Linked DNA regions of Tribolium castaneum. The protein of the gene in region 3 interacts with the protein of the main gene of each other region in a pairwise test. Links are inferred from orthologs where the notes say so. Each region holds a gene or a part of one and is shown on either strand. Other genes may lie near its edges.

Region 1 (3,662 bases), on a different chromosome or scaffold from region 3:
ATGAAACTGGGCCGCAAACTCCACCCGTTCTACTCACATTTGGGTCCGTTGCGCCGAAATTACTTATTCATAGTATTTTAATTGACTGTGACACGAAAATTTCACTTCGAATTTTGATACTTTTTAAAGGGACGCCATTTTGTTTATTTTTTCAAATCGCGGCCGGTAAAGTAGGGCCCGAAACTGCCATCTAACCTCTAATTTTATGGCAAAAACCCGGGATTATCACTAGAACGAACCGCTGGAATCGCCCAAAAAAACACTAAACGCGTCAAGAGTTCGCCCCAAACCACTCCACGACGTGTTATTTCTCGCCGATTTTGCGTGTTACATAACCCCAAAATGTCGCTCTTCAACCCCCGTTGGTTGCGTAATTTTATCAGAAGACACACGAATCAGATCCCTGAGCAGCGGGCCCACGTGTGGAAACAGCGCCTTTCCATATTCTACATGTTAACCGCGTGGAACGCCTTCGGCTTCGTCCTTTACCAGGTGTACCAAGGCAATGCAGACTGGGCCCGCAAGTACAAATCGGAGGAAGAATTGTCCCTATCCCCAGGTAAAATGAGACACTTGTTAATAAAAATAAAGCGTTTATTCGTGTCTTTAGCACAACAATGGGCTCGAACTTTAGGCATTAAGGACGCAAAAGTGATACAAGTCTCAGGCCTGCAAGTCACTAACTATGACATCCATAACGAGTTTGATGAAGCGTCTGAAGCGATACAAGAATAAATAATCACATTTCTTAGTTAATAAAATACAAAAAGGAACATTTTATTGACCAGTCACAGCCCCATTTCTACTATTCCTAAACTTCTCCATTTCGACAAGCAATGCGGACCTGTAGGTCTCGTACCGCATCACAATGTTCTGCAGTTCCTGCTTATAAAGCCGCGTCAGCATGCCGTTGTAACAGTCCAGGTCTTGCAACCGGAACATGTCCCACTTTAATTTGTGGTCCAGATCCGGACTCGCTAAAATAAACACCAAAAAAATCGGTTACACTCACAATTAACACAGCAAAAATTAATTGTGGTTTTACCATTGAAATAGACGTTAAGCCAATGGGGAATCTCCTCTAACAAGTAGGGATTTGCCGGCACCAGGACGCTGTGAGGCTGATAATGTGTCGTTCTTGGGGGGTTGAAATACCGCACCTCGGGCTGATAATTATAGCAAGGCACTAGACAAGGGTGCTCGTATTGAGCTTGTTTCGTAATGTGACTACAATTAAATTATTTGGATTTGAGTCTAACTGGGGGAAAAACCCACTTGACGTAATAAATGCCGTAAATGGGGGAATGGACACATTGCCATCCTGTGGGAAGCCCCTCGCGCTCCAGGGGGTGCGACCAATGGGTGGTTTTGGTATTGTGGTCGATGTAGTACTTACGACCACGGAGGGTGTAGTCCACGGACCAGCCGGGCGGAAGCGGAAGCTCTTCAGACTGATCTAAAAACAAGCGCCTAACTATGCAAATAATTGATTGTTAAAAATCAAACAAATTTTTAAAAATAATCAAAGCAAGAACGTCTAAGTGCCGTAATAATGATTAATTGACACAACGAGCTAGGCAACCAGTTGTACACCCAATACCTGTACTGCTTTCATTGCGCCCCAGCGAGTGTCTCAAATGGTGGGCGAGCGATTCACCATAAGTCATCCCTTGCAGAGGATTAGAGTAGCGCTCGGCCCCCGTATTGCTATAAATGGGGGTCGTGTCTTGACTCTTATGGGCCCCATCAGTGTTCTGATAAATCGGCGAACTTCTGCTATTATAATTATTATCCTGCGTAGTGAGTGGATAAATTTGATCAATTTCGACGTAATTGGCGTTCTGGAAGCGACAAATTCAATTAAAAAACCCACTTCAAGGGGGCTTGAACCACCGAATTGTCACTGTATGACGAACTGATGTGTTGGTTCATGTAAATGTGTTGTGGGGCCACTGATGAGCTTGGCGTGTAAAGGGAATTGTTTTCGTTTGTGGACAGATTGGCAAACCTGGTGGCCAAATCCGGGACTGAGGAGCTGGGTGTGTACTTCCCCTGGTGCGCCCCCAGGCCAGAGCTGATGATGGTTTTTTGGTTCCCGAATTTCTGGACGGTGATGCTGCTCTGGTTGGCCCCCCGTGTGAGGCTGGCGGGGAGCGACTGACGGCCCTGGTTCGAGAGGCGTCTTTTTGGTTCGGTTGTCCAAACGTTAATGACTGCGAAAAATTTGATGTGAGGTTAGGTCCAACTTGTCAAAAAATCGCTCACTTGGCATTTCGGGCGGGGTGTCTTTTTTCACGTATTTGCCGACCACCCCTTCCTTGATCGTTTTCAAATCTTTGTTTTTGCGCGATAGCATGGTCAGCAGGTGTGCAAATTGCGGGCTATTTTCGGCTGAAAATTGAGGGCCAGTCGATGAGGGTTTGCGACGGCGGCTGGCGGAGGCGTCTCAAGCGATGGATGGGACGTTCAAGTTCGCCGATTTCATTGCAGGATGGTTCGGAGGTACTCTATGTCTTGTCATGGGGAAAAACACTTGTAAACACTGCATTTTGGTCACAACAGAAATTCCATTGTTTACAAATTCACATCACCAGATTAGGGGCATGCGCGATGGACGTTTTAGCGACATTCCAGCGTGTATTCATTGTTGTCTACGGTTAGGGGGCCACGCGTGGCTGGGGCCCTCTTTTAGGCTGGTTTTTGTAAATGACGATTACAAAACATGCAAACTTTGGTCATTATCTCGAAAACTAGCAGTGATAAATGAAAACTGATTACATATTTGGAATCCTTAGACAAATCAAATTCCGGTCAAGTCGTTGATTTTTCCGACTACGAAAAATTATCCTAACTATAAATTACATGTCATAATTTTTTTAAGCACAGACTAACTAGTGTAGGAAATAATTTTTCATTGCATCTGAGAAAATTTCGGAAATAAACATTCACCCTGTATACGGAAAAGGTAAAAATATGTTCTCTAACGAACGCTAGTTGAAGCTAACTAGGCTAACTTTTCACACAAAACCCCAAAAAATTATAATAAAATTTCGAAATGTTGGGTCGCTTCCAAGAGGTCGGGTATTTACCCGGCGCCTCCACCATTATGTCATGAAGAATTCGTTAACTGTGAATTTGTACCATTTCGGAACTGATTAAGTTCATGAAAATTGGTACAGGCACGTAATTTCAACTGCTTTTTAAGAAATCGGGCCTCAAAAATACGAGGGGGCTCTTAATTGAATTATATTTTTTTAAATATTACGTTTATTCTGAGATGGAAATTGCATTTAAACAACTACTGAAATGTTATAGAATCAACATTACAACTGTGCCACTGTGTGGGTCATTCTGGAAATAAAAAATCCCGAATTTCAGGCATCTGTGGGGTGGTGGTGGGCCACCCCCTCGACACGATCAAAGTGCGCCAACAGAACTTCGGCACGAAGCTGTTCGTTGCCATTTCGCGCACATTCCGGCACGAGGGAATCCCCGGCTTCTTCAAAGGAATGCTATGTCCTGTACTTACCATCGGCCCCTCGAACGCCATTCTTTTCGGCGTTTACGGCAACTTAATGAACGTCTTCAACGAAAACTACGTACCTCGCCAAGTCTCGCACACCGACTTCGATGCCCTAAGACACGTTTTCATCGCCGGGACA
Region 2 (4,356 bases), on a different chromosome or scaffold from region 3:
ATTTTTTTTTGCTATAAATAAACTATTTAAATTGAACTAAATTTCAGTTACATTGTCAGGTATCCCCCTTGTCTTCTTTCCCAGGTAACAGTTGTTTTCTAAGTTTTGGCATGACTCTAATTCTGGGTACACTAGGCCCAGCAAACTTGGCTTTAACTCTTCTTTGTTCAGGAATATAGACTTCAAAAACTTTATAATATTTTAAAACATTTTCTGCAACAGATCATTGGCTATATTGGCTTAAAACAATGGAAAATTACTTGTTATTTCTTCGGGTAATTTATACTCCTTAGAAATAGCTTCAACACTATGTAGTCTACGATCGTGTTGGTGGTCTGTCACAAACTTAAGGACTTGTTTTAGTGAGGCCCTCCCTTCTGGAATTTTTTCAGGTTCTTTAACCCCATATTCAAAATCCTCAACTTGTTGCCTGTTAAGAGGAAGAGGTCTGTTGGGGTTTATTTTCTGTTCTTGCACCGGATTCTAAAAAAATATTTGCAAATTTGACGTTTTTTTTTTTAATTTACTTACAGGGTCATGTGAGGTCACATAAACATCTTTTAAGTAGTTATCCAACTGTTGGTGTTTTTTCTGGCCTTCCCTAAATTCTTCAGGATACTCTTCAAGAATATTACATTACTCAAGCCCTTTCGAATAAACAAACTCACCTCTCATTAATCTTTCATAATCTAGTTGATCACTTTTGTGTTTGGGAGCTGGAGTTGGCTTATCTTTGGATATAATTTTGTGTGCTCTACTCTCGATGTTAAAAGTCCGAAAAGGACGACCCATTAAAGACATGACTTTTCCCATTTTCGGCTTAAAAATTGAGTTGAGGTTAGGTGTAACCTCAATTCTAAAACTTCTTGATGTGACAGTTGACGAAAATTGAAGAAGGACCTCACGTATCCAGTTTTAATTATTTAAGGATACTTGTTTATTTCATAAAAATTGTGTTATATCATAATTTTTATTTTTCTATTCCACACATACTCGGTCACATTGCTGAAACAAAGACAGATTGACGGAGAAAGACAAAGATAAAACGCCTATTATGACCTTTTTTTTGATTTTTAAATCTGTAAATATTTTAAATCAGGGGCGTAGAGACTGAAACTATCAAATACCATGCATGTTTATTTTGCATCTGGGCAGATGTTTAAATTATGTAACTTTAGCACAATTTAAGTTAGCATTTTACTTTTCAAATCATTTATATTAGATCTAAAAAAAAGCTCACAAAAGAAATAATAATTTCTAATTTGAACACCTTTGATACGCTTATGGAACAAACGCTATCTCCATTGTCGCAAGCAGCGCGCATAGCTGCCAAATTGAGAAAACGGAGGGAACTAGGCGTCACATTATTTTCAACTAAAAATGGACGAAACAAGGCATTAATAAATACTCAGCTGGAAAAAATGGGATGTTTTATAATTTCCAAGTAATTGTCTGGGTGCAGACACGATTCGTGAGCTAAAGCAATGGCATTTAGTTCTAAATAAATAGTTTTCTAAGGTTGGCAGATTCTGGAATTTGACACTGTGTAAGATGGCTGGTATCTGAATCTTGGTAAATTGTCTTTGTTTTCATTACAGATTTAAGTGCCTTAAAAAGTGATTTAGCTTTAAATAACCGTACAGTTGAATGTAATTAAAAGTTTATTGTGTGGTGCGTGCGACGTAGCGTAGTGTAGAAGCCCTATGATGGAAATAATGTGTTAAGTGTTCATAAATTCCTCCACATAGAATGAGATAGATTGACAATTGACACTTCAAAATCTGTCAGTTCTTGCAGCAGATTCCATTTGTTTTAGAAGAATAAAAGGTAATTGTTGGCTAGGTTGTTTAAATAAATTTATCCTTGATGAGATGAATTGGTGTTAGACAGTAACAGATTAGATGTCACGCACAATGCCAAAGAATGTATGACTGGAATGCCGTGCGAGTGAGACATTTGATTGTAATTTGGCACATAGCTCTACTAGCGCCTGAAGCACTGTATCCCATACACTATGACAGATGCTATGCCTAATCTTTACACCGATTTATTCCCATTTTAGCCTACGCTTTAATCCACACCAAACGCCCCCTGATTTGTCTCAACTAACGCACAAAATTCGCTTCTCTTCCTAATCTCCGCAGCTAATTGTCATAGTTGCAGCTTTTTATGAAAGCAAATCACCAAACTGGACCATAAGAATGTAAATTAATCAATTAAAACATGCCATACAAAGACACAACCACTCCAATTATTCCTCGGAGACTTCTTCATTTAGCAACTAGGAGCGATTTTGGTGTTTATTAAAATAAAAACAATCCAAATGCAAATGTAATTGAGGTCACATTTAGAACATTTTTTCAGTAATAATTATTTGAAAGTGATTTTCACGGGTGCATAAAAAATTGCAATTGTGCACGCTTATTGGTAAGCGACCTTTTTTACCGCTCGTTATTGGTGCTCATTACGTAATGAATTAACAAGAAATTGACATCAATGGTTAAAATCTAGCAGAGTGTAAAATCACGATTTGTGAGAGCTGAATGAATTCATTATTATTATTAAATACCGACTGGCGACTGCATATTTTGTGGTTTATGCGTTTTTTAAATAGTTTTCTAAAAATATTTATATACAGTGTCAGTGTTAATATAATTTTATTTGAGATCAAAAGTTTTACCACAAAGGAAGAATCTCGTTTATCAAAAAATTCCACTAAACTTTTGTCATAACTTGAAGTTTTACGGCTGCAATAATAAAACCGCACACATCCGATTCGAAGCCGAAATTTTTCCACGGCAAAATGGATTATTTAAGAAGTCCAAGGATCAAGAAAAATGTTGATTAATTTATCTGTTTTTTGCTTTCCGTTAGTGCAGATCTTGTAAATCTTTATCGTGTCTCAAAATGATTTATAAAATGTACCGGTTGCATTAAATGAGTAACTCCAAATATCACAGCGCTTTAGAAATTCGTTGGAATTTCAAGCATCTATTCCTCTTGAGTAATTTGGAATTATCAAAACAGGTCACAGTATGAGAGCTCGTTATGGACGTATTAAATTTTCACTCGACGATTTGATAAAATTCGTGTCAAATTATTGATAAAAACGTAACCGTATTTTTTTAGATTGAAATAAAGCGACAATGTCTGTGTTCGCACTTCCCTGTAAAAACGAAAACGTCATTTTCACGTGCATCTTCGAGGATCCACGGCACATTAACAAAGCAGTGAAGCATGATTTATGCGTTCATGAATATTTCCATTCTTCATTGAAGTTTTGCAAAGCTTAATCGTGCGGTTACCTGTTGTTATTTTTTAAATTTAAATTAGGCGAAATTATGCAGAAAGCTACCAAATTTAACAACATTTTATATTTTGCAATGTGCAGAGCGACGTTTCACATCGCACTAGAAATCAACTCATACTCTTATTTTCGGAGTTGGAGATTTTTGCAGAATTCTCCTTGAATTGGAAGGTGTCTAGGGATACAACGCTGAAATCTCTATTTTAAGAAAAATCAGTTTAAAGTTGAGGGTTAACTTGCATAAAAAATTATTTTAAAAAAGTTGTAATTTTATTCTATGTATTTTTTTCACATAAAGAAATAAACATAGTTTTCTGGTTCATTGAGGGTTCATTGTTGTTTTATTAAACACCTTATAAACTTGACTGGATAGTTTGAAAAAAAAAAAGAAATTCATTAAGTCATTAATTTAATTTCCAATTAAATGCGTGATTAACTGATCACGTGACCAAATTGACGCAATTTGGTTGGTCCATTCGCGTTGTTAACTTTTACCAACTAATTAAATTTTAACGTAGCTTTCTGTAAACCGGCCCTTAAATTTTTTTTTATTATTTTTATAAGGGGGTAACTTGTTACAGCGGGGGCAAATGCCTACTCCTTGACTGCTAGTGTTTTTATTTTTGAATATTTTGTTTTTGATTGCAGTCGTGAAGTCGCGAACGATCGAATCCACTGCAAGAATCGTCAGGAGTGCGTCAAAACTCGTCTTCCAATGTAATGCAAAATGTATGAATGGGCGTAATTGTAGTGCATACTCATGTGCGGGGAGCCATGTGAATCGCTAGTGAGTGGCAGGGCCCAGCATGGGCCAACAGCCTCGGCCCCAACTGAACATGAATCCCAGCGCGCCAGCCCGCTCGCCGGGCTACCACCAAAAGGCCATGGAGGAGATCCAGAACTCGCTGCGCCCGTTCGCAAAGAGCGGCGGCGAGGCCGTGGGCTCCAGTGCGGCCAGCACCATTTCGAATTTCTCCGCCACAAGCGGAGTGAGCTCGCTGAGCTCGACGTCCGGCACTAACGGCACCGACAAGGACGTCCTCCAGCTC
Region 3 (4,184 bases):
TGGAGAATCTTCAATACGGACACTTAAGATTGTCACTCCAATGAACTCCTTCCAAGTTAATTCACATAACAGGACAGTTCTTAATATTATACAGAGTGTATTAGAAATACCTGTTTTAGTTTTAACACGTAATAAAACTCATGAAATACAACTTTTCTATATAACATTTTGCAAAATTCTTCTTTATAATTTTTAATGTTTTCCTCCATTTTCGGTCAGTGTTTAATAATTAGTTTGTCCGTTTCTGGCACAACGAAAATAGTTGGGCTCTAACTTTTGTTGGGTTCACGTTTCAGTATGTTATCTTTTTCCAAATTTTAAATAAATTTGCAAATTTTTTATTAAAAGATTACAAATAGAATAGTATATTACGAGTTTTATAAGACGCATGCACAGATTTGGAGTAAGTGCGACATCAGTATGTTTTTTTTATGTTATATCCATGAAAATTGGTATTTAAGCTTTTGGTTAAAGATCAAAAACAAATGTTTTAGGATTTTTGGAAATTCCATCCCTAAGACTCGTTATTTCAGTTAAATTTAAAGTCAAAATCCTCAGAGTCAAGTTAATTCGAAGTTGGAAATATGTTTTTTGATTTTAATCTGAAGTTTATATTTAATTCGACATTGTTTAAAAACCGTTTAAAAACGAACTAAATCGATCGAAACAGCCCACTTTTTGAGTCGATTTAGCAAAATCAAAAACGTTCTTCCAAAACGTTAAAAAAACAAAAATTAATACAGATTTCGACATAATTTACTGCTCTTTGTTTTTTCTGTTTTATACATTTTTATGTAAAGGTATTTTTAAAGGCCCTAAAATAACTTATTAGAATTATTATTATAAAACAACAAAATCATTTTCGATCAAATTTGAGCTGTTTTATTAATATTGCGAAAAAAACTGGGTTTTTCAATTAAAAATTCAGATAAACGTTTGAAAGAGGCAAAAAGATAGTAATTTTCTATCTAAATTAATGATTTTTCAGCTTTAAATCTTGCAAAAAAACAAGTAGAAAATCCATTCGCAAGGGGGTTTCCTATAAAAATCCGTAATTTTTGTAAGTAGAACTTGAAAAAACAATGAAACACCATTTTCATTTTTAACCGAAAACTCAAATAACGATTTTCATGGGTATAACTTAAAAAAAATACAGATTTTTATACAAAATTTAACCCCCTTGGGGGTGGAATTCTTATAAAGCACAAAACCTCCTTAAAGAATGATTTTTCAAAACAATCATCTACTGTTCAATTTAATCAATTAACTTATTACAGCTAATAAAACATAATTAATTACAATGTAAATGAAAAAAAGTAATGCGATTACGTTGTAATTAGATTATTGATTTAACTACATTATAATCTGTTTATGCCCAACTCTGTAAGAGGGGCTTTCGGCCAATCAAAACTTACCAGAGCTTCATTAGCCAATCGGATTTCCTCCTGGTACTGGAGCAGGCGCTGTTCCATATTGGCCCTTTCACGCTCCGCCTCCTCTCTCAATTGTTTTTCACGTGCCAGACGATTTCGTTCAATCTGCCGACGTTGTTTCTCTTCTTTGGCGGCGGCTTTCATTTGTTGGAGTTCCATAGAATCGGGTTTACGCCTCCGCATGAATAAATCATGGTTACCCATGCACAAATCAAGAATCTGAAACATTTGTTTTAACCACGCCCCCTCAGACCACACCCACTTACCAATTTATTCATTCTAACTTTTTGGCTAAAGAAGACAAAATTTGGGGAATTCTTATCGACCGGTTTGATAATAAATTTTTTATCGTCAAAACTAATGTGTCGTATTTCGGCCCATGTGAACGTCGTTTTTGGTTGTAGTTTATTTTCCTTTTCGTAGATGTTTAATCCTAGAGGTGTTACACCTAACCACAACTCAGTCTCTTTTTTATTCATTATCGGAAAATAATTAACACCGTACATGTCCAAGTCTTGTGCGATTTTTAAATACTCCATCTCGGCTTCGTCTCGCGACATACCCCTGTGATCTGAGTACCACACTCTTATCCGCTCCTCCCACATGTCTAGAGTCATCTGATACTGGTCGATGACTCTTTGGGGCAACAAATCCTCGTTCGCTAACATTCCCGGTTTGTACGTATCTAGGTCAAAGTCTCCAAACTGGGGGCTGTTAGACAGGGGGAACATTAACCTCAAACTATTTACCTTGGCTTGGACCGCGTAACTGGCTAGCAGGACGGACGCCTCAGGGGGGCAGTACACATCCATAGAGAGAATAGCTTGCTTAACTTGGAGAAAAAAATAGTGTTTTGTTACCTCTTGAACCAGCTCTTCGGCCACTTCTTCGGGGTAGAATTTCGCGAAAAACATGAACGACACCGTACTGTGGGGGTCCTTCTGGATGCTCTGGTCTTGGACTGAAACACACACATGATTTTGGGGGCCCTCTCAGCACCAGACCCACCTTTCTTGTCCAATTTTAACCAATTGATAAACCCTTTTGAATCTTCGTATTGCAAACCGAAATACCAAGTCTCGCGTAACCCGATTGTGCGGCACACTAGCTCGAATAAATCCCTGCCGGTGGCTCGCCACTACAATGCGAAAATTATTCACAGTTTGGAGAATTGAGACGGTAAACATACTTGTAAGTTGAACTCCAATTCGGCGTCCAATGTGCACACTTTCACGGGGAAACTCTTCTCGGATTTCTTTTTGCGAAATGGAGACATTTTTTCTAACATAATCCTCGCTTTTGTAAAACCTATCGCATTATTCAACCGTAAAATAACAACAACAAATAAGGCACAAACATCTCGGTTATGGCATTGACAGATGTCAATTCGGAATACCAACACAATGGCGGGAAATTACTAGGACTTTCGGGCGATGGGGCCCCAGGAAAGGGCTCAAGTGGGCGGTTTCAATCTATATCTTAATGTTTGTAACGCTAAATGTTATATAATGCTCCTGTCGGTTTTATTTTAGTTTAATCACAAAAGTCTAGAGGAAAATTTGGCCGGTAAAACAGATCTCCGATAAGCTTCTTGTCTTTTGAATAAATTGTAAAACCAAAAATTGCTTTTCTTGCTTTTTAATAAAAATTTAATCAGGAATAGGTCTTGATAATTTTATTTTTGACTATGAGGCTTAATTTTTGTTCGGTTTCATTGAGTATTTAGCTCAAAAACGTGTTTGAAATAAAAGTATAGCTTTTTTCGATTCAGTTCGGTGATTTCATGGTTCACGAAATAATTGCATTTCTGGGTGAAAAAGTGGAAAAATTAACTCATTTTCGATCAAATTCAGAACATGTTTAACTCGATTTACGCTAATATCGAAAAAAAAAACGCGTTTTATCTCAAAACTTGCTTAAACTCTCAAAAAATGTGACAAATTATAATATTTGTGTTAATTTTTCGATTTATTTTTGAGGAAATTTCTCAAAACCATTGGGTTTTTGTTTGAAAACGTGTAATATCATGTGAAAACCCAATCGTTTAGCTCAAAAACATGCTTAAACACTTTAAAAATGCGATCATTGTGTTCATTTTTTTAATTTTTCCGTATATTTTTGAAAAAATTTCTTAAAACAATTTGGTATTTGTTTGAATAACGTGTAATACATGCGAAAGGCCGAATTTTTTGCCCAAACACGTGCTTATGCGCTCGAAAAATGCGCTATTTGTGTTAATTTTTTTAATTTTTGAGGAAATTTCTCAAAACTACTGGATTTTTGTTTAAACAAAGTGTAATAATATCATGCGAACGGCCGAGTTTTTAAGTCATAAACGTGCTTAAACGCTCAAAATATGTGATACTTGTGTTCATTTTTAAATTAATTTTTGAAGAAATTTCTCAAAACAGTTGGGTTTCTTTTTGAACAACGTATAATCTCGAGAAAATCCGAGTTTTTATCTTGAAAAAATGCTCAAAAATTCAGCGTTTTTTGGATAATTTTTAAAAATTAATTGATTTTTAGTTTACAAACATGCATAATACAACAATAACACCATTTCCGATTAATTTGGGCAATTTTTTGGTTTTATTTGACGACTTTTCACGAAATAATTGGCCTTATAGACGCGGAAGTGGTAAAATAAATTTATTTTCGATCAAATATTGTGAATTTTTAGTTTAGTTTAACAGACAGGGTGTGGCGTCTAAACCCACATTAGAAGTAATGGTAGTTCTAATAATGATAGTC

What was found.
Region 1: the proteins of Mer (region 3) and sav interact in a two-hybrid assay, tested with the Drosophila melanogaster proteins (2 studies listed by BioGRID). The link is inferred for Tribolium castaneum from reciprocal best matches to the Drosophila melanogaster genes Mer and sav.
Region 2: the proteins of Mer (region 3) and wts interact in binary tests that used the Drosophila melanogaster proteins (3 or more experiments, as listed by UniProt). The link is inferred for Tribolium castaneum from reciprocal best matches to the Drosophila melanogaster genes Mer and wts.

Annotation. Positions count from the first base shown.
Region 1 is NC_087396.1:21,519,465-21,523,126, reverse strand, and holds sav (protein salvador homolog 1), read right to left. Parts: upstream 2,402-3,662; 5' UTR 2,357-2,401; coding exon 2,266-2,356; intron 2,214-2,265; coding exon 1,894-2,213; intron 1,842-1,893; coding exon 1,601-1,841; intron 1,457-1,600; coding exon 1,276-1,456; intron 1,228-1,275; coding exon 1,046-1,227; intron 978-1,045; coding exon 778-977; 3' UTR 736-777; coding exon of another isoform or gene 611-735; 3' UTR 574-610; downstream 1-573. Other genes in the region: uncharacterized protein LOC659596, read left to right, coding at 343-559, 611-735; solute carrier family 25 member 45, read left to right, coding at 2,454-2,502, 3,379-3,662. UniProt on the Drosophila melanogaster protein: Plays a key role in the Hippo/SWH (Sav/Wts/Hpo) signaling pathway, a signaling pathway that plays a pivotal role in organ size control and tumor suppression by restricting proliferation and promoting apoptosis.
Region 2 is NC_087397.1:10,568,329-10,572,684, reverse strand, and holds the start of wts (serine/threonine-protein kinase Warts), read left to right. Parts: upstream 1-1,515; 5' UTR 1,516-1,827; intron 1,828-3,955; 5' UTR 3,956-4,113; coding exon 4,114-4,356. Other genes in the region: protein NDUFAF4 homolog, read right to left, coding at 56-213, 261-483, 532-620, 669-813. UniProt on the Drosophila melanogaster protein: Negative regulator of Yorkie (Yki) in the Hippo/SWH (Sav/Wts/Hpo) signaling pathway that plays a pivotal role in organ size control and tumor suppression by restricting proliferation and promoting apoptosis.
Region 3 is NC_087401.1:7,792,642-7,796,825, reverse strand, and holds the start of Mer (merlin), read right to left. Parts: upstream 2,842-4,184; 5' UTR 2,722-2,841; coding exon 2,623-2,721; intron 2,572-2,622; coding exon 2,442-2,571; intron 2,395-2,441; coding exon 2,183-2,394; intron 2,138-2,182; coding exon 1,700-2,137; intron 1,653-1,699; coding exon 1,416-1,652; intron 1-1,415. UniProt on the Drosophila melanogaster protein: Regulator of the Hippo/SWH (Sav/Wts/Hpo) signaling pathway, a signaling pathway that plays a pivotal role in organ size control and tumor suppression by restricting proliferation and promoting apoptosis.